Linked DNA regions of Arabidopsis thaliana. The protein of the gene in region 1 interacts with the protein of each later gene in a pairwise test. Each region holds a gene or a part of one and is shown in the gene's direction. Other genes may lie near its edges.

Region 1 (4,298 bases):
TACAAATGTTTTCAAAATGTCATACTATAGTAGTCATTTATAATAGATATGAAAAATGATCACAGTTGATTTGTTTTTTTGGTGGACTACGAATAAAATCGTTTTGGTAATTGTCTAATCTTCGAGTGAGTAAGACACCGTCAATCAACCATCAATATCATCAATCAAAACCATTATTGATCTATTTTTTGGTTTAAGGAAAAGTTGGTAATTGTAAAACGACTTCAATAAAATATTTAAAACAAGGAGACCAAAACCGACACTCGGACCATTGATAATAGAAACAACGAGCAAGGTTATAGTAGTATAGTTGAGTCTCACAAACGAACACGTAAACCCAATATAATAACTACGCAAGGTTACATCTAGAGCTTATTGTTCCCATCACAATAACCTCTTGGCATTATTAATTATCAAATTCACTCAAAGTATTAAACTCCTGATGTCTAATAGATTATCAACAAATCGACAAAAATGTAGATATATAACTCAAAAGGTATAAATTCAAATGTTTGGTGGGGTTACGTAAAAACTTGAATTATTAAGAACTAACAATACTATAGTTTAATTAAAAGGAGAATTATGAACCGTTAGAGGGAAGGTTAGGGAGCGTGCATGAACATTACCTGACGTTTACCGACCTGATTCGTACCGTACATACCAGAACAAAGAGCTTTTAAAAACCCGCGTTTTACGACCGACACGTGGCAGTTCTTAAATGGATGACAGTTAGTGTTTTATTAATTGTTTTTGTTTGATTAACAAGTTTTATACAGCCTGGCTGTTTCTATTCGTATTTTCGATATAATAATTAAATATATTTCAGGAAACAAAGGCAGTGATGATTTTGCGTTCCAATTCGGCAACCTATGTTGTCGTTTTCTGCCACGTCAAAACCTCCTATCTTTTGTTAACCGCACATTTTACATCACGTTTCCTAAACCGAACATTAATATCTAACCATTTTTATACATTCACTTAATATCGCTCACACGGTTCTTTGTCAATCCCATTTTAATCCAGCTTCGTTTCAAATTATTGAGGTTTAGATCTTTTTATGATCATAGAGCAACTATATATAGATTTAGTATTGTCAATTTGTCATGCACTGTTATATGCATGAATTAGGTGTTTGTGTGTTGTTTAGTAATTAATTATACCTTCTTAGTGACAATTTGTTTTCTTTATTAGTAATGAAATTTGTGGTCAATAATTTTGATTAGTTTTCAACCCGGAAAATCGGTTATATGTAAAGTAGATATTATCATAAAGTTTTTATGTGAAGTGCTATACAGCCTGGCTTCGCTATTCTAAAGTCAAGACTAAACATAAAAATAAATAAAAACTGTCCTTACCCAAACCTAACCGTTATCATCTTTTTATTTTTTTCTTCAGATATTTCTTTTTCATTTTTATTTCCCCTATAAAAAAATTTAAATTCACCTCAAATTGTGCGAATATTATCATGGCTTTGCTAGTTGGGTTTCGTGATTTTGTCTCTTTAACTTCTTACTTTCGCCACGCGCTTAAATGGCGCGTGTACTCACAAACTCATACTTTGAGACTCGACTGATCTCCACGCTCAACTATACGAAATTGCTGATCTTGAACAAAATTATTACGAAAACGACAAAAAAGACACATCGACGTAGTCAGGCTTCGACGCGTGTCCACTTACAGCTGTACCGCAAACTTTGAAAAACCGCTTGCGTGGAAGAAGCGTTGCCCATGACTTCTCCACCGTCTTAACCGGTTTCCGGTTATCCTCCTCTCTTAAATCTCTGTATAAATAATTTTGTCCTCTCTTTAGTTTCTCGAACTTGTTTTTGGTTCATCTCTCAAAACCAAAATCACTAAAGAGGAGAAGATTGCTAAAGTTTGATAAAACATTCCAAAATCAATGGCTGATAGGATCAAAGGTCCATGGAGTCCTGAAGAAGACGAGCAGCTTCGTAGGCTTGTTGTTAAATACGGTCCAAGAAACTGGACAGTGATTAGCAAATCTATTCCCGGTAGATCGGGGAAATCGTGTCGTTTACGGTGGTGCAACCAGCTTTCGCCGCAAGTTGAGCATCGGCCGTTTTCGGCTGAGGAAGACGAGACGATCGCACGTGCTCACGCTCAGTTCGGTAATAAATGGGCGACGATTGCTCGTCTTCTCAACGGTCGTACGGACAACGCCGTGAAGAATCACTGGAACTCGACGCTCAAGAGGAAATGCGGCGGTTACGACCATCGGGGTTACGATGGTTCGGAGGATCATCGGCCGGTTAAGAGATCGGTGAGTGCGGGATCTCCACCTGTTGTTACTGGGCTTTACATGAGCCCAGGAAGCCCAACTGGATCTGATGTCAGTGATTCAAGTACTATCCCGATATTACCTTCCGTTGAGCTTTTCAAGCCTGTGCCTAGACCTGGTGCTGTTGTGCTACCGCTTCCTATCGAAACGTCGTCTTCTTCCGATGATCCACCGACTTCGTTAAGCTTGTCACTTCCTGGTGCCGACGTAAGCGAGGAGTCAAACCGTAGCCACGAGTCAACGAATATCAACAACACCACTTCGAGCCGCCACAACCACAACAATACGGTGTCGTTTATGCCGTTTAGTGGTGGGTTTAGAGGTGCGATTGAGGAAATGGGGAAGTCTTTTCCCGGTAACGGAGGCGAGTTTATGGCGGTGGTGCAAGAGATGATTAAGGCGGAAGTGAGGAGTTACATGACGGAGATGCAACGGAACAATGGTGGCGGATTCGTCGGAGGATTCATTGATAATGGCATGATTCCGATGAGTCAAATTGGAGTTGGGAGAATCGAGTAGACAAAGTGAGATTATTAGGAAACTGTTTAAATTGGAGAAGAAGAAAAATGCTCTGTTTTTTTCTCCTTTGGATTAGGCTTAAGAATTTTGGGTTTTAAGGAAATGTATAGAGGAAATCGAGTGAACAAAGCTCGAGAGCTGGGGACGTAGTGACGAAGACGAAGATCAAATTTCTCTTAAGCTATTCAGGAAAATAAAATAAATTTTTATTTATAACTACGCTTAATGATGATAATAGATCAAATTAATACACAAAGTATCACAAAGTGAAAGATAAATGATCCAGTTAAAGAACAAGTTTGTCGAGGATTGGTAAAGACTTGCATTTGGCAACTAAAGGCACAGATTTGGGCATGGTAAGACCCTTTCCTTCCGACATGTCAACGGCAACGTCATTGTCTCTCTCCCAATCGAAACACTGGATCAATGAGCCTAAAGCTAAGCTCAGTACTAGTTGGGCCAGGCCCATACCAGGACATGCTCTCCTACCGATTCCGAAAGGCAGAAACTTACCACGATGGGTCTCTGATTCAAACCTCTCTGGTTTGAAAGTTTCTGGGTCATCCCATACATTTGGGTCTCTCTGAATAGCCCACGCATTGATAAATAGCCAGGTGCGACGTGGAATGTCAAATCCAGCGACTTCACAGTCAGTGGATGAAGCGTGTGGGACAAGTAAGGGCGCCGCCGGAAACAAACGAAGAGTCTCAGAGATCACATTGTTGAGATAGGGACACTTGCCAGTATCTGATTCCTCAAACACACGCCCTTCTTTCGAAACCTCGTTTAGTTCCGTTTTGAGTTTCCTTAAAACTTCCGGATGATTTAGAAGGTTAGCCATAGCCCACTCCAACGTCACTGCGGTTGTGTCCGTTCCAGCAAGCAACATCACCTGCAATGAATCCTTTGAATCTTTGATGAATCAATCTTGATCACTCCTATTAACGATTCAAAATTATAGGAATTAAAAACTCATGTACCTGTACGAGCCCTTTGATGATATCATCAGTGTAACATTCAGGTTCTGATTCTTGAAGAGACAGCAAACGAGTGATCATCGTTTTCTCAAGCTCTGCTTTTCCTCTGTTTTTCCGATGCTCGTCGACTAATTTCTGCATAAACTTGTCCAATTTCGAAGCGAGTTTCTTTGCTCTCTTTCTGTATCCATCAAGATCAAAGAGCTTCAGAGTCGGGAGAAAATCTCCGACATAATTAACACCAGCGAAATCGAACACCTCCCTAATCAGCTTCCGAACTTCCTTAGTTTCCTCGTCTTCCTCTCGTTTTCCAGCGACCATGCTCATTAGGATGTTATACGTAAGCCCATAAAGAAACGGCTGGAGTTTCAATCTGACACTGCCTCCTGATGTTACCAGTTCCACGTTGATCTTCCGAATCATAGCTCTCACTTCGTCTCTCCGTATATCCGAAAAGTCTCTGAGACGAGCGGTGGACAAGATATCTACGGCGCAGAAACGGC
Region 2 (7,760 bases), on another chromosome or scaffold:
TGTCTGATATTGACATCTTAATTTATAACTTCCCTTTTCATTGTTAATGTTCCTTACTGTCTTCTGATTGATAATAAAGACGTTGACATGTCAAACCACATAATTATTTGAAAAATATATATTATTTCTTCAGATTTTCATCATTTGTTATAAGTCTCGATAAGACAGTTTTTGTTTTTTTAACAATTTTTTACAAAAAACTTACGACCATAATTTAGTTCAGGCGAAAATCAGTGAATCATTAATCATATTTATTAGTTTGGATTTTTATGTGTTTTTCTTTTTATGTATTTGAGGATTTTTCAGTTTGTGAAAACAAATCTAATATGCTTATTTGATTTCTTCTTTATTTGCTGTATTCTTAATATATCTTGCAGAGCTAAGGTAATACTCAAATTTTTTTTTTCCACACGTAAAAACTCATATTTATCAGTTTGGAATTACTGTATTCTTTTTAGTAGTCCTCTCACTCGCCATGGCAAGAAGAAGGTTTTTTTTTCCTTTTTCTTGCATTCCATGTTAATCAGTATTTGAATAAAAAAGCAAGCTAAATCGGCAAATGAACTTATATCCAAATAATCAAGATATCAATCTGTGTAAGCATTACTAGAAAAGTAGAGATACTCGTGTTACCGTGTAAATTAAAAGAATAAAAATGTGCTTTTCAAAAGTTATATACTTTTCTTGTGCACCCATAACTTTAGCAAAAGCAACCATCATCATTCTTGAGCAATTAAAACAAATAATATTGATCTTCATTTGGTGCCAAAATACTTTACGGTAATGACGTCAAACTCGATGTTTCTTGTCAAAGTCTGAAAGACCAATATAAAATAACACTAGACACATTATAAAATTAACATATTGGTTCATTGTAATTAAACCGTCGAATATATATAACGAAAATACCAATTACGCTGTGAATAAACAAACAAAATCATTTTATTAGTCATCGAGTAAATAAATTCGATTATAATCCTCAATAGTCAATATATATATAGCTCACATCACATTATGCGATTAACAAAAACAATCCAAAACAGTTAAATGATTAGAAATTAAACGAGTCTCACTAAATTATTAACGACTCCAAATCACGAGAAGGCTTAAGAGTTATCATGTCGGGAGAATTTAACTGATAACCTCTTCCATTATCTCTCAATCACGTGATTTTTGTTCAACGAGTACCGCATCTCAAGAATAAAAATGGCAATTTAGGTAAATATTTGTCATTTTCAAGGGCAATGGAACTTAAAGATGCATTTCAGAAGGAAAAGCTTTGTCGTGTTATGAGGGAAATGTGGGGACGCAGCTACTTCGCTTTCAAACCGTTGGATGAATATCCTTTAAGGTTCATCGTACAAGATCGACGGCACTCACCGAGGGTGTACTCATGTTGTGACACAGAGGATCATGTCTACTTGGAGTACAGCTAGCAGCTAGAGATTCTGAGCCGATAACGTCGAGAATTGTAGCCGGCTAAGTCGTATATGCTGGTTTAAACTTTAATCTGTACTTATATATAAGTCAACGTGCTTATCAAAATCAGCTCCCTTATCGTGTGATAGGTGCATTGTCTTATTAGACTCCGTTATCCGTCACCTTCGCATATTAAAATCACTTTTTATTTTTTGGTTTTAAATTAAAGTCTCCATTTCTGCAAGATTTTAATGTTCGTATAAATAAGCCTGAAGAGAGAGAGAGAGAGAGAGAGAAAACTTGTTTTTTTTTTTTCCATTAGTTTTTTTCTTACTTTCTGGTCGAGAGAGGAGAGTCCAAAAAACCCAAATCCTTGGCCTCTTTCAATATCAGGAGAGAGAAACTGAAGCTCTGGCCTTTGTTTCTGAAATCGATCGTCTTCTTCTTCTTCATGGCAAGTAACGTATCTAGGTCTTTCATTTTTGGTTTAATATCTAAATCGTAGCTTTTCTGGGTTTTTGATTTTTGTTTTTGTCTCATGGAAGTGAAAAAGATGGCCATTTTAAGCTTTATATTTAATTCGGTGGACAATAATAATACTAGGAAGACCTAATTTTTGTGTAGCCCAATTAAACACTAATTAAATCCGCCGGAATAGAGACTTTTGGAGAATTTTCCGGAGGATAGTTGTAAAGATCTAGTTATATACTGTGTAATTAAGAGGCTGTGTCTATTTTCATTTTTTAAAAATAATAATTAAATGGAGGAATATCTGAAACCCAGTAAATTGGGATGATTTGATGGTTTTGTAAGGTTATCATCGTCGCCATTATATTGATATGCAGATCTGGTGGGTTTTTCTGCATCTGACTTGATAGCTTTATCGGACTGAGTGGCAAAATCAATCATGTCTTCTCTGAGCAGAGAGCTCGTCTTCTTGATCTTACAGTTTTTAGATGAAGAGAAGTTTAAAGAGACTGTTCATAAGTATGTCCGATCTCTCTTTTCCTTTTTGTCTTTTATTAGGCATTATTATTAACTTGATTGATTATTAATTAGGCTTGAACAAGAATCTGGGTTTTTCTTCAATATGAAGTATTTTGAGGATGAGGTGCACAATGGTAACTGGGATGAGGTTGAGAAGTATCTCTCTGGTTTTACTAAAGTTGATGATAATCGATACTCCATGAAGATTTTCTTCGAGATTAGGAAGCAGAAGTATCTCGAGGCCTTGGATAGGTAACTTGTGTCTCTCAACAACAACAAGAATCAAATGTTTTCATATTGCCAATCAATCACACCTGCTGCTGCTTCTATCTAGGCATGATCGTCCCAAGGCTGTCGATATTTTAGTCAAAGATTTGAAAGTGTTTTCCACTTTTAATGAGGAGCTTTTCAAGGAAATCACTCAGCTCTTGACCTTAGAAAACTTCAGGGAGAACGAGCAGTTATCCAAGTATGGGGACACAAAGTCCGCCAGAGCTATCATGTTGGTGGAACTCAAGAAGTTGATTGAAGCTAATCCTTTATTCCGTGATAAATTGCAGTTTCCTACCCTTAGAACTTCACGCCTCAGGACTCTGATTAATCAGAGGTATTCTTTGTCCTTTCTTGTTCACTTCAACAAATTTTCTTCTTGTCAGCTACTTTAACTCCTTGTTTCTATGTGGCTACATAAACCTGCAGCTTAAATTGGCAACACCAGCTTTGTAAGAACCCAAGGCCTAATCCTGATATTAAGACTCTCTTTGTCGATCATTCCTGCCGCCTACCAAATGATGCACGAGCACCATCCCCTGTCAACAATCCGCTTCTTGGATCATTACCAAAAGCCGAGGGATTTCCTCCTCTAGGCGCACACGGGGTAGGTCAATTTCCACCTGATTTTTCGTATTTTCTATAAGTGCCATTTCTACTGCTTTTGGTTCTAGCTCTATAGTTACCTTTACATGCCGTGCTTGACTTACCTTTATGTCTTTAGCCTTTTCAACCAACACCTTCTCCGGTTCCGACACCTCTTGCTGGTTGGATGTCTAGTCCTTCCTCTGTCCCACATCCAGCTGTGTCTGGAGGACCCATTGCTCTTGGTGCTCCATCCATCCAAGGTTATTTGCTTATCAAATGTGGTGTTTCTTTATAAAAGCTGTGTGGAACTATAGTCTTAAATTTTATCCTCGCCTTTTTTTCAGAACCTTTAAGTTTCACCTGTGATCTATGTAACATGTTCTCCTTTTTGGTTCTTAGCAGCCTTGAAACACCCGAGAACTCCTCCTTCTAATTCCGCTGTAGACTATCCATCAGGTGACTCAGACCATGTCTCAAAGCGAACCAGACCTATGGGAATCTCTGACGAGGTGAGAAAAATCTTAATTAATATTATATATTTTCTTATCAATACCAATTTTACATAATTGGTAGTACTAGTTTAGACTTTAAACGTATTTCTTCTTTCTCCCCATATGTAGGTGAGTCTAGGTGTGAACATGTTACCAATGACATTCCCGGGGCAGGCTCATGGTCATAATCAAACCTTCAAAGCACCTGATGACTTGCCCAAGACAGTTGCACGAACTTTGAGCCAAGGCTCATCTCCCATGAGCATGGATTTCCATCCTATTAAACAGACTCTGCTACTAGGTCTGTTTCTTGGTCTGTATGCATATTTCATGTAACATACATCATCAGAAATTTTGTAAAACCAGAAGTTTCTTGCTTCAATTTTCTTTGTTCCAGTTGGTACGAATGTAGGGGATATTGGGCTCTGGGAAGTCGGTTCTCGAGAACGTCTAGTCCAGAAGACTTTCAAAGTTTGGGACTTGAGTAAATGTTCGATGCCCTTGCAGGTGTCTTCTTTTGTGAAAATCAACCAGAATATTAATATCTAATATCTATTTGAAACTTCAGTGACCAACAATTCTGGTCTTTATAGGCTGCTTTGGTGAAAGAACCTGTCGTTTCTGTCAACCGTGTGATTTGGAGCCCGGACGGTTCCCTATTCGGTAAGACTTGAGATTACAAATGCTCTTTCAACCGATTTGAGTATTCATATGCGCACGTTTTCAACTGCAGGAGTTGCTTATTCGAGACATATTGTACAGCTATACTCTTATCACGGTGGTGAAGACATGAGGCAACACCTTGAGGTGTGATATAGTTTACAACAACATTTTAGGAGTATTTCTTTCATTTCCTGTAATGAAAATCATTTTTTATTATTTCAGATTGATGCTCATGTTGGCGGTGTCAATGACATTGCATTTTCCACTCCGAACAAGCAACTATGTGTTACTACTTGTGGTGATGACAAAACCATCAAGGTTCAGTATTTTTTTTCTTCTTTCATTTCCTTAACTCTTGTTTTTTTTTTTTTTTGTTGGAACTCTAAAAACAGACTAATCAATTCTGTGAATTAAGGTCTGGGATGCTGCAACGGGTGTAAAACGGTATACTTTTGAAGGCCATGAAGCTCCTGTTTACTCTATCTGCCCTCACTACAAGGAAAACATTCAGGTAAAGTAGCAATATTTATACGGTTTCATTTTTGCTAAGTACAAGTTGAAATTCGTTTCTATTTGGTTTTGACTTGTTTATTTCTTCTTCTGCTTAAGTTTATCTTTTCAACTGCTCTTGACGGAAAAATAAAAGCATGGTTATATGATAATATGGGTTCTCGGGTTGACTACGAAGCTCCTGGTCGCTGGTGTACAACGATGGCCTACAGTGCTGATGGAACTAGGTTATAACATGATTCTCATCATCTTTATGTTGTGGTTCTGTTCTGTATCGTCATGAAGTGATAATAAATTTAAAATCTATTTTTTATTATATTCACATGGATAGGCTATTTTCTTGTGGGACGAGTAAAGATGGGGAATCGTTCATAGTTGAGTGGAATGAAAGCGAAGGAGCTGTGAAGAGAACTTATCAAGGATTCCACAAGCGTTCCCTTGGTGTTGTCCAGTTTGATACTACTAAAAACCGTTATCTCGCTGCGGGTGACGACTTCTCCATTAAGTTCTGGGATATGGACACCATACAGCTTTTGACTGCCATTGATGCTGATGGAGGTCTCCAGGTATGCAAACAAATACCTCGATTCTCCCTGGGAACCGAATGTTTTCATTTGCAGCCATCATGGCTCTCTATGTTTTGTAGGCAAGTCCACGGATCAGATTTAACAAGGAAGGCTCTCTCTTGGCTGTTTCCGCAAATGACAATATGATTAAGGTTATGGCAAACTCAGATGGTCTAAGGCTATTGCACACAGTCGAGAACTTATCTTCTGAATCCTCCAAGGTACTGAATTTTGTGCTCACTGGATCTTCAACAAGCAAATTACTAACCCCCAATTTGAAATTTCTTCAACACTTTATTTTTCATGTACATTTGCAGCCTGCAATCAACAGCATTCCGATGGTAGAGAGACCTGCCTCTGTCGTTTCCATCCCTGGAATGGTACGAAAATCGATACTTTTTCCGTCAGTTTCTCTATCTCTTGGTCTGGGTCCAATCATCGTTGTTGATCACTTACCTTTCCAACAGAATGGAGATTCGCGGAATATGGTGGATGTGAAGCCAGTGATTACCGAAGAATCAAATGATAAGTCTAAGGTATGGAAGCTTACTGAAGTCGGCGAACCCTCTCAGTGCCGTTCATTGAGACTCCCTGAGAATATGAGAGTCACCAAGGTACTAACACATAGACTGACATAACTGTACTTATATGGCTTGATTCTAATGACTCAAAACTTGAGCAGATATCGAGATTGATTTTCACAAATTCGGGAAATGCAATTTTGGCATTGGCATCAAATGCTATTCATCTGCTATGGAAGTGGCAGCGAAATGACCGTAATGCAACTGGGAAGGTACTTATGGTCTAAAATCTTCCTTTAAGATCGCCAAAAGAGTTGAAATCATGATGAAATTCAATTTGAGATTTTGTGTAGGCAACGGCTTCTTTACCTCCTCAGCAGTGGCAACCAGCGAGCGGGATCTTAATGACAAACGATGTGGCTGAAACTAATCCAGAAGAAGCCGTACCCTGTTTTGCTTTATCGAAAAATGATTCCTACGTGATGTCAGCATCGGGAGGAAAGATCTCTTTGTTTAATATGATGACGTTTAAGGTAAAATCCCAGCTACAGACAGCACTATGTCTAATGTATGCAAACAATGCTTCATCTGTTACATTTAATTGTGTTGTTGGCTAAGCGCAGACAATGGCTACTTTCATGCCGCCTCCTCCTGCCGCAACGTTTCTTGCTTTTCACCCTCAAGATAACAATATCATTGCGATCGGGATGGATGACAGTACAATACAGATTTACAATGTTCGTGTTGATGAGGTTAAGAGCAAGCTTAAAGGACATTCTAAGAGAATAACCGGCCTCGCTTTCTCCAATGTATTAAACGTTCTGGTTTCGTCTGGAGCAGACGCTCAGGTGCTGATTCATCTCATGTTTTGTAATAAAGAATCCAAATCCTTAGAAGTCTTAGTGTGAATCTTTTGGTTTTTGTATGCAGCTTTGCGTATGGAACACGGATGGATGGGAGAAGCAGAAAAGCAAGGTTCTGCAAATTCCACAGGGAAGATCCACGTCTTCTTTGTCAGACACGCGTGTTCAGTTTCATCAAGATCAAGTACACTTCCTTGTGGTCCATGAAACTCAGCTCGCTATATACGAAACAACCAAGCTTGAATGCATGAAACAGGTTTTAGTCTTTATATATGTTCATTCTCTCTCCTTGCATCTGAGTAACCCTTATAGAAGAAAGAAATGTCTTTATTTTGATTCCAGTGGCCTGTGCGTGAATCAGCAGCTCCAATAACACATGCCACATTCTCATGTGATAGCCAATTGATATACACAAGTTTCATGGACGCTACAATATGCGTCTTCAGCTCTGCAAACCTTCGATTGCGTTGCAGAGTCAATCCCTCTGCATATTTGCCAGCTTCTCTCAGGTGAGTTAATGAAATGAATATAAACTAGTGCAATGTTGGATCATGAATCTTGAGTCTTCATGTTGATGTTTTGTGCAGCAACTCGAATGTCCATCCACTGGTGATAGCGGCTCATCCGCAAGAATCCAACATGTTTGCAGTGGGTCTGTCAGACGGAGGGGTCCATATATTCGAGCCGCTTGAGTCAGAAGGTAAATGGGGAGTAGCTCCACCGCCTGAAAATGGCTCAGCCAGCGCTGTCACGGCTACACCTTCCGTTGGAGCTTCTGCCTCTGACCAGCCTCAGAGATGATCTGCTTCAGTTTCTTACTCTGTTTTTTTTGTGGGGGTTTTAGATCTTTTCCGATTTATTATTGTTTTGTTTGTGTGGGGG
Region 3 (4,179 bases), on another chromosome or scaffold:
GTTATGGTTGCAAGTCAATTTATTATCACTTATCAGCATTCAAGTCCAACTTTTTACTTCAAAACAAACAAAACTAGAAAATCCAATTCAATCAATTTTATTGGAGCATTTAAGTTAATCTCAAGTAGTTTAAACTTGAAAGAGTTGGATTCACAACTTATTGTATACACGAGAAAAAATGTAACAAACGATATTCCAAAAAAAAAAGTCAATTAAAGTGAACTTATCAGAATAACATTGTTCTTCATCATGTTTAAAACCCCAAAACAAAATCCAATTGCAAACACCGGTTTCTCAATGTACATCTCTCAAAAAAACATAGTAAACGACTGTACATAATGAAAATGGGAACTCTTTCTATGAACCATCGAAGACTCCAAGTATTCTATTACACTGGTTAGGGAGTTGAAAAGAAGTAAACCATAATGTGTCAAATCCGATCCAACATCAATTCCGTTAGCGCTTAAGAAGTCTTTTTGCATCTGCAATATCCTGCAATATAACAATAGCACCAAAACAAACTAGTACATAATCAACATTAACAACAGCTAGGAGCAAAAGCACTAGTCAAGAACTTAATTTAACCTTAATTAACAATTCGAGTTAACAAAGAAAGAAAAGAGTACTGAAAGTACCCGCTGCAGAAAAACTGCTTCTTTAGGAGAGGTAGGGAACTGCACTAAACCGATTCCAACAATTAATAGCAAAGGACACTACAACGTATATAGGTAGCTGGTGCAAAGATATACATTATTAATATTGACTAACTGAGAATAGCAATAAGCAAAAATGAGCACAACAGACTCATTACTAACCAACTATGTTTGGCTACGAGCCATAATTGCAGCCTGCAAGAGAGCAAACTAAAAGGCAGAGACAGCTACCAGCAGGCTCAAAATCTTGACCACATGCTTCATTGTCCTTGAAACAAAGTTTATGTAAGATTTGAGTATTGACAATATACCAGAAAAGAGGACTACACTAATGCATTTTCCGATTTCTTGCATATTTGGAGCTGACCATGAACGGGTGCCATTAAAGGATATCTATAGAAGTGAATTCCTTCAAATAACAAATTGCCAATTCTAAATCCATTACGCATAATTTCCACACATCTTAAGCAACTTATGTCCAGACCAGAATCTAGCATAGTCATGATAACTAAAAGAACAGTAAAATGCAACCCAAACCATCAAAATGGGAAAGGAAAAAAAAACGACTTTTCACATTTTCTTGGATCTCATAATACAAGCGGTCAGGAGCTCAAAGCCCTTTAAGCATAATTTGTAGAACCTGAATCTTAAAAAAAAAAAGAAACACAAATACATGATTTCCCACCGTTCCTCAGGATTTTAAACATTCTATAGTCAGATCCTCAGGAAATCAAAGCCATTACACAACACATTTCAGAACATTATAGGCTAAATGATTTGAAAACTTGAATCCTAAAATTCATTAAGCTGCCCCAAAACCAAGCTTCTACTAACAAAACAAACTACAATTAACCATCCGAATCAAACCATGCACCCAAAACTCGAATTGAAATTTGATATATCTAACAATGATTGAGCTGCCATCAGAATGAATTATTAGAAAATAATTTTGTCACGGTTCCTTCAGACCAGAGTAAACTCCAATCATCCGAAACTCAAAACCCTTGCGCAAAATTTTCAATCATCATTTGGCAACTTATTCAATCAAACCAACAACGAAAATAAACAAAAGGTTACATAAAACTAACCAAGCCTATGTTCTAAAGCAAACGAAATCAAAAAATTCAAACAATCAATAAGATGCTCCACTATTTGCGGGAGAGATGGAACCTTTAAGCTCACAGATCTCGCCGCCATTCTCAATGTTTCTTCGGCTGTTTTAAATAGTTGTGTCATTAGGGTTTTTATTCAGGTCTTAAAATCATGGGTATAATCGTCAATTTCACAAAATAAGCCTTTGTCCTGGATAAGCTAAACCAGTTTCCAAACAAATCTTGCTTCGATTCACAAATTATTACGATTGCAATCCCTAATTTGGAAGTCCCGGTTCCTCTTTCGATCAAATCGGAGAATTTCACGGCATGGCTACGGCTGTTGGTGGCGGAAGCGATGTGGAGGTTGGATTTGCGAAGCTTCAAGGTGAGGATTTCGAGTACTATATGCAGTCTTACTCCATTATACTCGGCCGGAATTCTAAGAAAGCCACCGTCGACGTTGATCTCTCATCCCTCGGCGGTGGGATGAACATCTCGCGCAACCACGCTCGGATCTTCTATGACTTCACTAGACGACGCTTCTCTCTCGAGGTCCTTGGCAAAAATGGCTGCCTCGTTGAAGGTGTTCTTCATCTCCCTGGGAATCCTAACGTCAAGCTCGATTCACAAGACCTTTTGCAGATCGGAGACAAAGAGTTCTACTTTCTCCTACCGGTTCGGAGCATCTTAGGCGGGCCGTTGGGACCTAGGCACCACGTCTCTGGGCAAACAAGTGTTGTTCCATACCATAATTATCAGTCGGGTCCAGGTTCTGGGTCGGGTAAGAAGGGCGTCAGGAGTAGAGAGTTGTATGAGTACGATGATGAAGATGATGATGACGACGACGATGAGGAGGACGATATGAGAGGAAGTGGAAAGAAAACAAGGAGAGATGGACATGAAGTAGTATATGCTTCCGGAGGTAAAACCAGATTGCTCATGATTGTTTGAGTTTTCATTGTGCAACTAGATATGTTTCAGATTATGATGCTTACTTGATCACATCAGGCTTGTTTCTTTAGACTTTGATTGTGGTGGTTGCTGATTGAACCTTGTTAGACTTGGATTGAATTTGAATGCTAGTGACACCACGACATTGTATCTGCTTCATTTGTGCAGAGAAGAAGAGAGAGGGAAGATCAAAGGTAGATCGTGAAGCTGATGATCAACAATTTTTGCAGCTGGAGGAAAAAGATGTTGTATCGTCTGTTGCCACTGTGCTTTCCGATTTGTGTGGTCCGGGAGAGTGGATGCCTATGGAAAAACTTCATTCGGTGGTTAGTTTTTATGAGAAAGTTCCTTGCCTTTTTCTAATACAGAATGTAGTACGAGTAATCAATTGAAACAAGACTTGTATAATGTCAAGGTGATAATTAGTGTGAAGCTAGGTCCTTAATTAGTTTTCCAATGGAAACGCGCTACGCTACTTATATGTGTCTAAGTCTAGAAAGTATGTCAGTTACTCCATAGATTTTGAATGACTAGTGTAGTCTGACTATGAACTTCTTTGTGATTCAATATGATGGCTAATGCATGGTAGTGGTTGGTCTGTGACAGATATTAAAGGAGTATGGAAACGTATGGCATCACAGTCGAGTAAGAAGATACCTATCACAAGAAGACTGGGCTATCCCTGAAGCAAAAGGTAAACCATGGTACGGTTTGCTGATGCTGCTGAGAAAATACCCGGAGCATTTCGTCATCAACACGAGATCAAAGGGAAGAGTTACCCTTGAATTCGTTTCCCTCGTTACCCTACTCTCATGAGAACTTTACCTTAGTGACTCGGATTAAGATTTAAGAAGCTTTTCTCTCTTTTCTTTGTTTCATATGTAAAATATTTTGGCATTGATTAGTAACACGCTGTGTCGTTTTTCTGCACCCAAAAACGCCAACTTCTTGGTCCTTGCAGTTGAGAGATTTTGATTTTCTTTTTCTTGATTCTTATTTTTGATAAACCCATCGAGATTTTTCTTTCATCAAAGGGCAAAAAATTCGTGCCAATTCAGAAATCGTTATGTTCGGTGGATTTGGGCCATAAAAAGAGAAAAGGCCGAAACAGAGAATGATCCAAAGTGGCTCAAGTACGTATCCAGACAATATAAAAAGGTTGGAATGTGCAAACTTAGGGTTATACTCGTATCTTGTAGCAGCCACTAAAGCAAAATTCTGAGATCGAAAAAGCTATATAAAAAAAAAAAACTGCTTCCGTTTCATCGATTTTGTCCAGATCTTCCCCTTCTTCCGGTAATCGAAGCTTACGAGATAGTTGAGTGAAGATGATCTATGATGTGAACTCTGGTCTATTCAGATCCTTCCTGAGCCAGAAGGGTAGCTCGTCCGACAAAAGGTACAAAATCTTGTCTTGTCTGATCCAAATATGAGATTATCTCGATGTTGTTCCCAGATCTATCTATTGATGTGTCATTCTT
Region 4 (7,902 bases), about 17 Mb from region 1:
ACTTTAAATTTGAATATTAAACATCTTCATATTAAAAATAGAGTCATTTGGAAATATTATTAATAAAACTATTTATAAAATTAAATAGTACAGAATTTATAAAATGTAATATCATATAATTTATCCATATATGGCACGCATTCTTACCTAGTTTATCCTTAAATTATCAAGAAAAAAACAAATTTAAAAATATTTTCTACATTTATGTTAATAAGTAAATTTTACTTAAGTTAGGAAACATAGTATCAAATTTCTTATTTTACTTAAGTTAGGTTTTGAAGAATTAACCTCGATTTGTATCTATCGTGTTTTTAAAAAATGAAAATTGACATTTATCCTTAAATTTATAAGATATATTTGTAAATTGTATTGTTCTCATTAGTATACCCTAATCACTTTTCTATCTCTCTATAAATACCTGTAAATCTCATTCTAAAATAAAGTCAATACATTTAGCCTCTATATGGTACCAAAGCTTACAATTCTAAATGGTATAAAGAATATATATGATATATTGTGAAAATGTTGGTGCCACTTACCTCGGTACCAATCCGGTTTTCTATTCTCGAATGAACCATATATATAGCACTTAATTCAAGCTGGAATGCTTCAGATTACTCATGTCTCCATTGGTGATCAGTTAGCAAATACATTCACTAAATCTTTAGCGAAATCAATATTTCAAAAAAAAAGTTCCAAAATTAGAGCTACACGAGTACTTCCATACTAAAAGGACGTATAAAGAATATACATGTAAACCATATTGTTATATCCTAATCATTTTTTTCTATCTCTTAAATACTTGTAAATCTTAATTCTAATAAAGTTAATGTATTCGGCCTCTATAAAATTTTATTTTATATATACTTAATAAGTTATTTTCATACTCCATATGTTTCTTTTATTTGATTTTCTAGAAAAAAAATGTTTCAAAAAGATTAATTTTATAGGTTTTCAATACAATACTTATTAGTTATAATTGATAAATTGTAAACTTCAATAAAAATTATTGAATATTATTGGTTTAAAGTTATTAAAAATTTTAAATTATAAAAAATAGTACATTTAAAAAACAAGATTTAATATGTCTTTTTTTAATATTTATGTTTTTCCTAAAAAATCAAATAAAAAGAAATATTAAAAATATTATTTTCCTTTTTTTATTATTTTTCTTTTCAAATATCTATTTTCTAAATCCATATTATGTTTTTCTTTTATAAATAATCTCATTTCGCCATGGAGAACACGAGTAATTCTCCTGGTGTATGCCTAAAAAAAAAAGCAAAGATTATAATATGAGTATATATAATTATATATGACGTAACCTGCGAGATGTTGAATTGTCCACATTGTAATTGTCACGAACACTTAATTAAATCTTGCGAAAAAGAGATCTCAAAAATATCGCGAGAAAAAGAAAAAAAGGATAATATGAGAAAAGCCAAACGAAGAGTGCATCGAAAGCTGAGAGCGACATAATAAAGGAGAGAGAAAAATGTGGGGACCAGACTGGACGTGTGCACAGAATATTCACACTATTTGAATTTTGTTTTCGAATCCGCCACTCTATCTCCAAATCAACTTATCACTCAATTTGATAATAACTTAACCTACCTCTCTTATAAGGAAGCCTACTTATCACCGACGAAGACTCCGCTTATATCTGATAAGTCGGTAGAACGATGTCTCTGTGCAAAGAAGAACGCGTCCAAGAAAGCGAGGTCTAAAGTTTCTCAATCCCCCAATCTTCTCCTCCTTCTTTATATATTCTCTCTCTCTCTCTCCATTTTTCTCTAAAAGCTAGAGCTCTTCAAAACCCTAGAAATCCTCGAAATCAGAGTCTTTACCTGGGCTCGTGTCTTCAGAGCTCGGATTCGTGTTTCTTTCGTCGTCTCTCTTCTTCGTTTCTCGTCAGATTTGAGATTCGTTGAGAATGTCGTCGTTGAGTCGAGAGTTGGTGTTTCTGATACTTCAATTTCTGGAGGAAGAGAAATTTAAGGAATCTGTGCACAGGTTAGTCTATTTATATGGTTTGTTTTGTGTTGTGTTGTGAGAGGCTGAATTTTGGGATTGACTGATTTGTAATTTGTTAAATATAGGCTTGAGAAAGAGTCAGGATTCTTCTTCAATACCAAGTATTTTGATGAGAAAGTTCTAGCTGGAGAATGGGATGATGTTGAGACGTATTTGTCAGGTTTTACTAAGGTTGATGATAACAGATACTCTATGAAGATTTTCTTTGAAATTAGGAAGCAGAAGTATCTCGAGGCTCTTGATCGGTATGATTATAAGCTGTCTTATTTGTTTTTTTACTCTTGAAGATTTGTGGTTTTAGAGTTTGATGTTCTCTGTTGTTACAGGCAAGAGAAGGCAAAAGCAGTTGAGATACTAGTGCAAGATTTGAGAGTTTTCTCCACTTTCAATGAGGAGCTTTACAAAGAAATCACTCAACTCTTAACTTTGCAAAACTTTAGGTATGATATATTGAATTTTGATCTCTCCTTGTTGATGTTTCTGTTGTTATGGAAAGTAGGAATATGAGACTTGGTTTAGGTTCAGTCCAAGTCGAGTTCGTGATGCTTTGTAGACTGTTTTTGTTTGGATGTGAAAGAGGGTGTGATACTCGAGTTTCTCTCTCGATTGTTTGCGTTTTGTGGATTGAAATTTGACATCAATGATTTTCATGAATCTGCAGGGAAAATGAGCAGCTTTCAAAATATGGAGACACTAAAACTGCTCGGGGCATAATGCTAGGCGAACTTAAAAAACTAATTGAAGCGAATCCACTTTTTCGTGATAAATTGATGTTCCCTACTTTGAGATCTTCGAGACTGCGGACTCTGATTAATCAAAGGTGTGTTTCTTTTTTCTTTCCTCATGACCATTCTGTATGTTGCAGATGAGGTTTGGATGACTTCGTTGTTGGATGATTCATTGTGCATATGTTCTCTTGCAGCCTCAATTGGCAGCACCAGTTGTGCAAGAATCCTAGGCCAAACCCAGATATTAAAACTCTATTCACAGACCACACTTGCACACTTCCGAATGGTCCTCTCGCACCTTCAGCAGTCAATCAGCCTGTTACTACTTTGACGAAGCCAGCAGCTTATCCGTCACTTGGACCTCATGTTGTAAGAAACCTCGATGTTTGACTGCTTTAATCATGTTTTTTGAATCTAAATTAATCTTAATGTTTGTGGAATCTGTATTACATGTAGCCCTTTCCACCTGGTCCTGCTGCTGCTAATGCTGGTGCTTTAGCTAGTTGGATGGCTGCTGCCTCTGGTGCTTCTGCTGTCCAAGCTGCCGTTGTTACACCTGCCTTGATGCCTCAACCTCAGAATCAAAGTTAGTTTTTGACGATCCTCTAGATTTCTAATCCTCGACTTATCAATAACTATCATTTCAGTTTCCATCAAAAACTTATTATTTTTCTTCCAAAAAGTGTCAATCTTGAAGCGACCAAGAACACCACCAGCAACTCCAGGTATAGTAGATTATCAGAATCCTGATCATGAACTAATGAAGCGTCTCCGCCCTGCTCCATCTGTGGAGGAGGTAACGCGAATTCTTTTCTTTTTCTGGAAAGCTGTTTATATAATTCTTGCATCTTCTCAAAATTCTAAGCATTTATCATTTTCCAGGTGACATATCCTGCTCCTAGGCAGCAAGCTCCATGGTCGCTGGAAGATTTGCCAACAAAGGCAGCTCTGGCGCTGCATCAAGGGTCCACTGTGACAAGCATGGAGTTCTACCCTATGCAAAACACGTTACTTCTTGGTATGGGGGTTTGAAAAAAAGAATACAAATTCTAAACTGTGTTTGAAGTTATATTTCTGTTATCTCTTATTTGGCTTTCTGAATGACCGTTTGAATGCCATCAGTTGGATCTGCGACGGGAGAAATCACATTGTGGGAACTTGCCGCTCGAGAGAGGCTGGTTTCAAGGCCATTCAAGATATGGGATATGTCTAATTGCTCACATCAGTTTCAGGTTTGTCTTTACAGCTAAGAAGTTTTTAGTTTATGTGTTTGATGTATAAAGGCGGAATTCAACCAAATGGCTATGAGAAGTGTTGGAGATAAAACGTATCAGCAAACTAGTTGCTGTGCAAGATTCTTATACTTGCCTTTCTTTTGGCATCATTCAGGCTTTGATAGCTAAAGAAACACCGATATCTGTCACTCGCGTTGCATGGAGTCCGGATGGAAATTTCATTGGTAAGCTTCCCGTCATGCATTGTTGGATTTTAATTGTATGTTGTCTATGGTCTCTGGTCTCAGTCTCTTATTGTGCAGGGGTTGCGTTTACAAAACATCTAATTCAGTTGTACGCTTTCTCTGGACCTAATGATCTTCGCCAACATACTGAGGTAAGCATACTTGTGATCTGTACGAGAAATATTGCGATGTAATAATATCCCACTGAGACTAGATCACTTTTTCACAGATTGATGCCCATGTCGGTGCTGTGAACGACTTGGCTTTCGCCAATCCAAACAGACAACTATGTGTAATTACTTGCGGAGATGATAAATTAATCAAGGTGAGATAAAGAGTCACAAAGTTTCACTGTTAGATATCAATGCAGCTGGCTAACTTGATCAATGTGGAACAGGTATGGGATGTTTCTGGTCGGAAGCATTTTACTTTTGAAGGCCACGACGCTCCAGTTTATTCCATTTGCCCTCATTACAAAGAGAACATTCAGGTGCGGCAAGGATTGAATCAAACTATATTTTACATCAATTATTATACTGTTTTACCAATCCGTTTGAAGAACAATAAAGTAGACGACACATTTCATATAGTATTATCTTGCCTATGAATTTCTGTTCTTTACCAAAATACATCTCGTTCTTATTTGGATTTCAGTTCATATTTTCAACCGCCATAGATGGGAAAATAAAAGCCTGGCTTTATGATAATCTGGGTTCCAGAGTTGACTATGATGCTCCCGGTAAATGGTGTACGAGGATGCTTTACAGTGCTGATGGTACTAGGTAAGATCTTAAACTCATAAACATTTCCCTCTTCTATACCGCTTGTTCTTCACTCCTCAGTTTCCAAAATCTTCAGATTCTTTTGTTTACTCCGGAGGATACTGAGTTGTGTCCTTGAGTTTCTAATCTTATCTTTCTGTTTTAAGTTTACCTTTTCAGTGCTTTCTGATGTTTTTTCCCCCTTCAGATTGTTCTCTTGTGGAACGAGTAAAGATGGAGATTCTTTCCTAGTTGAGTGGAATGAAAGTGAAGGATCAATTAAAAGGACGTATAAAGAGTTTCAGAAAAAGTTGGCAGGTGTGGTTCAGTTCGATACCTCAAAAAACCATTTTCTGGCTGTTGGTGAAGATGGACAAATCAAATTTTGGGATATGAACAACATCAATGTTCTGACTAGCACTGATGCTGAGGGTGGACTTCCGGTAAGTCCCAAAGATTCTTTTTCCCATGGCTTGTTGCTTGGATGTTCGTCTTTTTAGGTTTGCATATAACTTGTCCCAACTTCAGGCTCTTCCCCATTTGAGATTTAACAAGGACGGCAATCTTCTAGCCGTTACTACGGCAGATAACGGATTTAAGATCCTAGCTAATCCAGCTGGTTTCCGATCTCTTCGAGCGATGGAAACTCCAGCTTCTGAAACGATGAGGACTCCAGTTGATTTCAAAGCTGTAATGTTTCTCAACTTTGTATTACATTTTTTCCCTTTTTTACATCCACTGTCATTACAAGCTGTCTCGGTTTACACACTTTGGTATATTCTGTTAGGTTCCTGGTGCTCCTGTTGCGTCTGTCAATTGTAAAGTTGAACGAGGCTCTCCTGTTAGACACTCACAAATGCTGGTAAAATCACTCATTAAATGCTATGTTTCTAGCCATTTCTATAATTTATTATTCTGTTCTGGATTTTCGGTTGTAAATGAAGTGAACTTCCATTTGTCGAAATTGTAGTTTACTATTCTCTGACTATAGTAGTTGACTGTTTCCGATTTTTTTGTCATGTTTAAAAAAAATATTTACTAATCTTTTTTTTCTGAATATCCTCAAGAATGGAGTTGATCCCTCAAAGTCGAGAATCGATGACTCAACAGACAAACCAAAATCTTGGCAATTAGCTGAAATCTTGGACCCTTCCCAGTGTTTCCAAGCTACTTTACCCGATACCGCTGGTTCTTCCACAAAGGTTTGTGCAGTTATCTTTCTCAGAAAGTTGTTGGATTTCTATAAATGTTTTGAAATTGAGGCTTAATTTTCTCATGCTGCGTGGGAAAGCAGGTTGTTCAGCTTCTGTATACGAATTCCGGTGCTGGAATCTTGGCACTAGGTTCCAATGGTATCCAGAGACTCTGGAAGTGGGTTCCCAATGAGCAGAACCCTAGTGGAAAGGTAATCGTAAAAAAGAGTTTGAGAGAGCTTAATGCATGCTGTCTGCGGTTTTAAAGAGTTAGAGATAGCTTAATGCATGCTGTGTGCGGTTTTATTTAAGTACTGTTTATTATGCAGGCAACTGCTACTGTTGTTCCTCAGCATTGGCAACCAAACAGTGGTCTTCTTATGACCAATGATGTGTCTGGTGTAAACCTTGAAAACGCTGCCCCATGCATCGCTCTCTCTAAGAACGACTCATATGTCATGTCTGCTGCTGGAGGAAAAGTCTCGTTGTTCAACATGATGACTTTTAAGGTATATATTATCTATATGAACTTAAAAAAAGCCACAAGATTTCTAACTGAAAATGTTCTCACACTAATCTAGTAAACTCTTTTGGTTGTTCTAATTTCCACAAAAAAACTATTGGCCTTATAGGTGATGACAACATTCATGCCGCCTCCACCAGCATCAACGTTTTTGGCGTTCCATCCTCAGGACAATAACGTCATCGCCATTGGAATGGAAGACTCTACGATTCACATCTATAATGTCCGAGTGGATGAGGTAAGTAGTTTCTAGTACTAACCATTGCCACTTATGTAGTCTTTTTGATCTATGACAAGGAAAAACTTGTGAACCTTACGTTTTTTGAAGAAATGGTTCTCATAGCTTCACATATGTTTTACAGTTTAATTTTCCCCTCACTGCTAATGTTGCCTTAAAACTCTATCAACGATCTGAAACTTGCATATTGTGTTCCATCAGGTCAAATCAAAGCTAAAGGGTCACCAGAAACGCATCACAGGCCTAGCATTTTCTACAGCCCTCAACATCTTGGTTTCATCTGGTGCTGATGCACAGGTGTGTTATGCTGCGTCTTGTTGTTGTTGTTGTTGTCCTGTAGTAAATATATCTCAACTGAAGGGAAAAATGCTTGATTATTTTGTGTTGTTTCCTTGCTGGATTTTCTACCATTAGACTTATCTAATCTAGGAGGATACTTATTCTTCCTGTTGTCTTCTCTTAGATCTGCTTTTGGAGCATTGACACATGGGAGAAGAGGAAATCCGTTGCAATACAAATGCCAGCAGGAAAAGCCGCCAATGGAGACACGCGGGTTCAGTTTCATGTGGATCAGTTGCGTATTCTGGTAGTCCACGAGACACAACTGGCGGTATTTGATGCTTCCAAGATGGAATGTATCCGACAGGTATCTATGACTATGATGAGATCATCTCTGTAAATCCACTTATATAAAATGGATCATCTCTGACCTGGCATGTATATATGAAATGCAAGGTCATATATACATATTCTTAATCATTATTTTGAAATTTGTAATGACTTATGTTCTCTTGTTTTCATGTCTCAGTGGATTCCACAAGACTCGCTGTCTGCTCCTATATCTTCAGCGGTGTACGCATGCAACAGCCAGCTGATCTACACCACTTTCCGCGATGGTAACATTGGAGTATTTGACGCGGACAGTCTCAGATTAAGATGTCGTATCTCTCCATCCGCCTACTTGCC

What was found.
Region 2: the proteins of MYBR1 (region 1) and TPR1 interact in a two-hybrid assay, tested with the Arabidopsis thaliana proteins (one study listed by BioGRID).
Region 3: the proteins of MYBR1 (region 1) and FHA2 interact in binary tests that used the Arabidopsis thaliana proteins (3 or more experiments, as listed by UniProt).
Region 4: the proteins of MYBR1 (region 1) and TPR3 interact in a two-hybrid assay, tested with the Arabidopsis thaliana proteins (one study listed by BioGRID).

Annotation. Positions count from the first base shown.
Region 1 is NC_003076.8:26,852,209-26,856,506, forward strand, and holds MYBR1 (myb domain protein r1), read left to right. Parts: upstream 1-1,813; 5' UTR 1,814-1,900; coding exon 1,901-2,818; 3' UTR 2,819-3,104; coding exon of another isoform or gene 3,105-3,710; 3' UTR 3,711-3,798; downstream 3,799-4,298. Other genes in the region: CYP81G1 (cytochrome P450, family 81, subfamily G, polypeptide 1), read right to left, coding at 3,105-3,710, 3,799-4,298. UniProt on the Arabidopsis thaliana protein: Transcription factor. Represses the expression of protein phosphatases 2C in response to abscisic acid (ABA). Confers resistance to abiotic stresses dependent of ABA. In response to auxin, activates the transcription of the auxin-responsive gene IAA19.
Region 2 is NC_003070.9:30,261,013-30,268,772, reverse strand, and holds the start of TPR1 (TOPLESS-related 1), read left to right. Parts: upstream 1-1,647; 5' UTR 1,648-1,873; intron 1,874-2,232; exon of another isoform or gene 2,233-2,264; 5' UTR 2,265-2,326; coding exon 2,327-2,406; intron 2,407-2,478; coding exon 2,479-2,658; intron 2,659-2,740; coding exon 2,741-3,013; intron 3,014-3,105; coding exon 3,106-3,283; intron 3,284-3,400; coding exon 3,401-3,524; intron 3,525-3,663; coding exon 3,664-3,773; intron 3,774-3,884; coding exon 3,885-4,056; intron 4,057-4,152; coding exon 4,153-4,262; intron 4,263-4,348; coding exon 4,349-4,418; intron 4,419-4,488; coding exon 4,489-4,562; intron 4,563-4,640; coding exon 4,641-4,736; intron 4,737-4,833; coding exon 4,834-4,929; intron 4,930-5,027; coding exon 5,028-5,155; intron 5,156-5,259; coding exon 5,260-5,494; intron 5,495-5,574; coding exon 5,575-5,715; intron 5,716-5,811; coding exon 5,812-5,874; intron 5,875-5,961; coding exon 5,962-6,108; intron 6,109-6,176; coding exon 6,177-6,287; and 11 more. UniProt on the Arabidopsis thaliana protein: Transcriptional corepressor. Activates TIR-NB-LRR R protein-mediated immune responses through repression of negative regulators such as CNGC2/DND1. Negative regulator of jasmonate responses.
Region 3 is NC_003074.8:2,295,894-2,300,072, forward strand, and holds FHA2 (SMAD/FHA domain-containing protein), read left to right. Parts: upstream 1-1,992; 5' UTR 1,993-2,074; coding exon 2,075-2,669; intron 2,670-2,866; coding exon 2,867-3,024; intron 3,025-3,304; coding exon 3,305-3,514; 3' UTR 3,515-3,679; downstream 3,680-4,179. Other genes in the region: AT3G07230 (wound-responsive protein-like protein), read left to right, coding at 4,027-4,097. UniProt on the Arabidopsis thaliana protein: May play a role in the control of plant organ development and specifically in the regulation of stamen development. Does not show transactivation activity in yeast.
Region 4 is NC_003076.8:9,509,295-9,517,196, reverse strand, and holds the start of TPR3 (TOPLESS-related 3), read left to right. Parts: upstream 1-1,789; 5' UTR 1,790-1,933; coding exon 1,934-2,013; intron 2,014-2,099; coding exon 2,100-2,279; intron 2,280-2,360; coding exon 2,361-2,474; intron 2,475-2,695; coding exon 2,696-2,854; intron 2,855-2,956; coding exon 2,957-3,131; intron 3,132-3,218; coding exon 3,219-3,348; intron 3,349-3,445; coding exon 3,446-3,558; intron 3,559-3,644; coding exon 3,645-3,780; intron 3,781-3,884; coding exon 3,885-3,994; intron 3,995-4,151; coding exon 4,152-4,373; intron 4,374-4,450; coding exon 4,451-4,546; intron 4,547-4,618; coding exon 4,619-4,711; intron 4,712-4,875; coding exon 4,876-5,003; intron 5,004-5,190; coding exon 5,191-5,425; intron 5,426-5,510; coding exon 5,511-5,672; intron 5,673-5,769; coding exon 5,770-5,844; intron 5,845-6,049; coding exon 6,050-6,184; intron 6,185-6,276; coding exon 6,277-6,387; intron 6,388-6,504; coding exon 6,505-6,684; intron 6,685-6,807; and 7 more. UniProt on the Arabidopsis thaliana protein: Transcriptional corepressor. Negative regulator of jasmonate responses.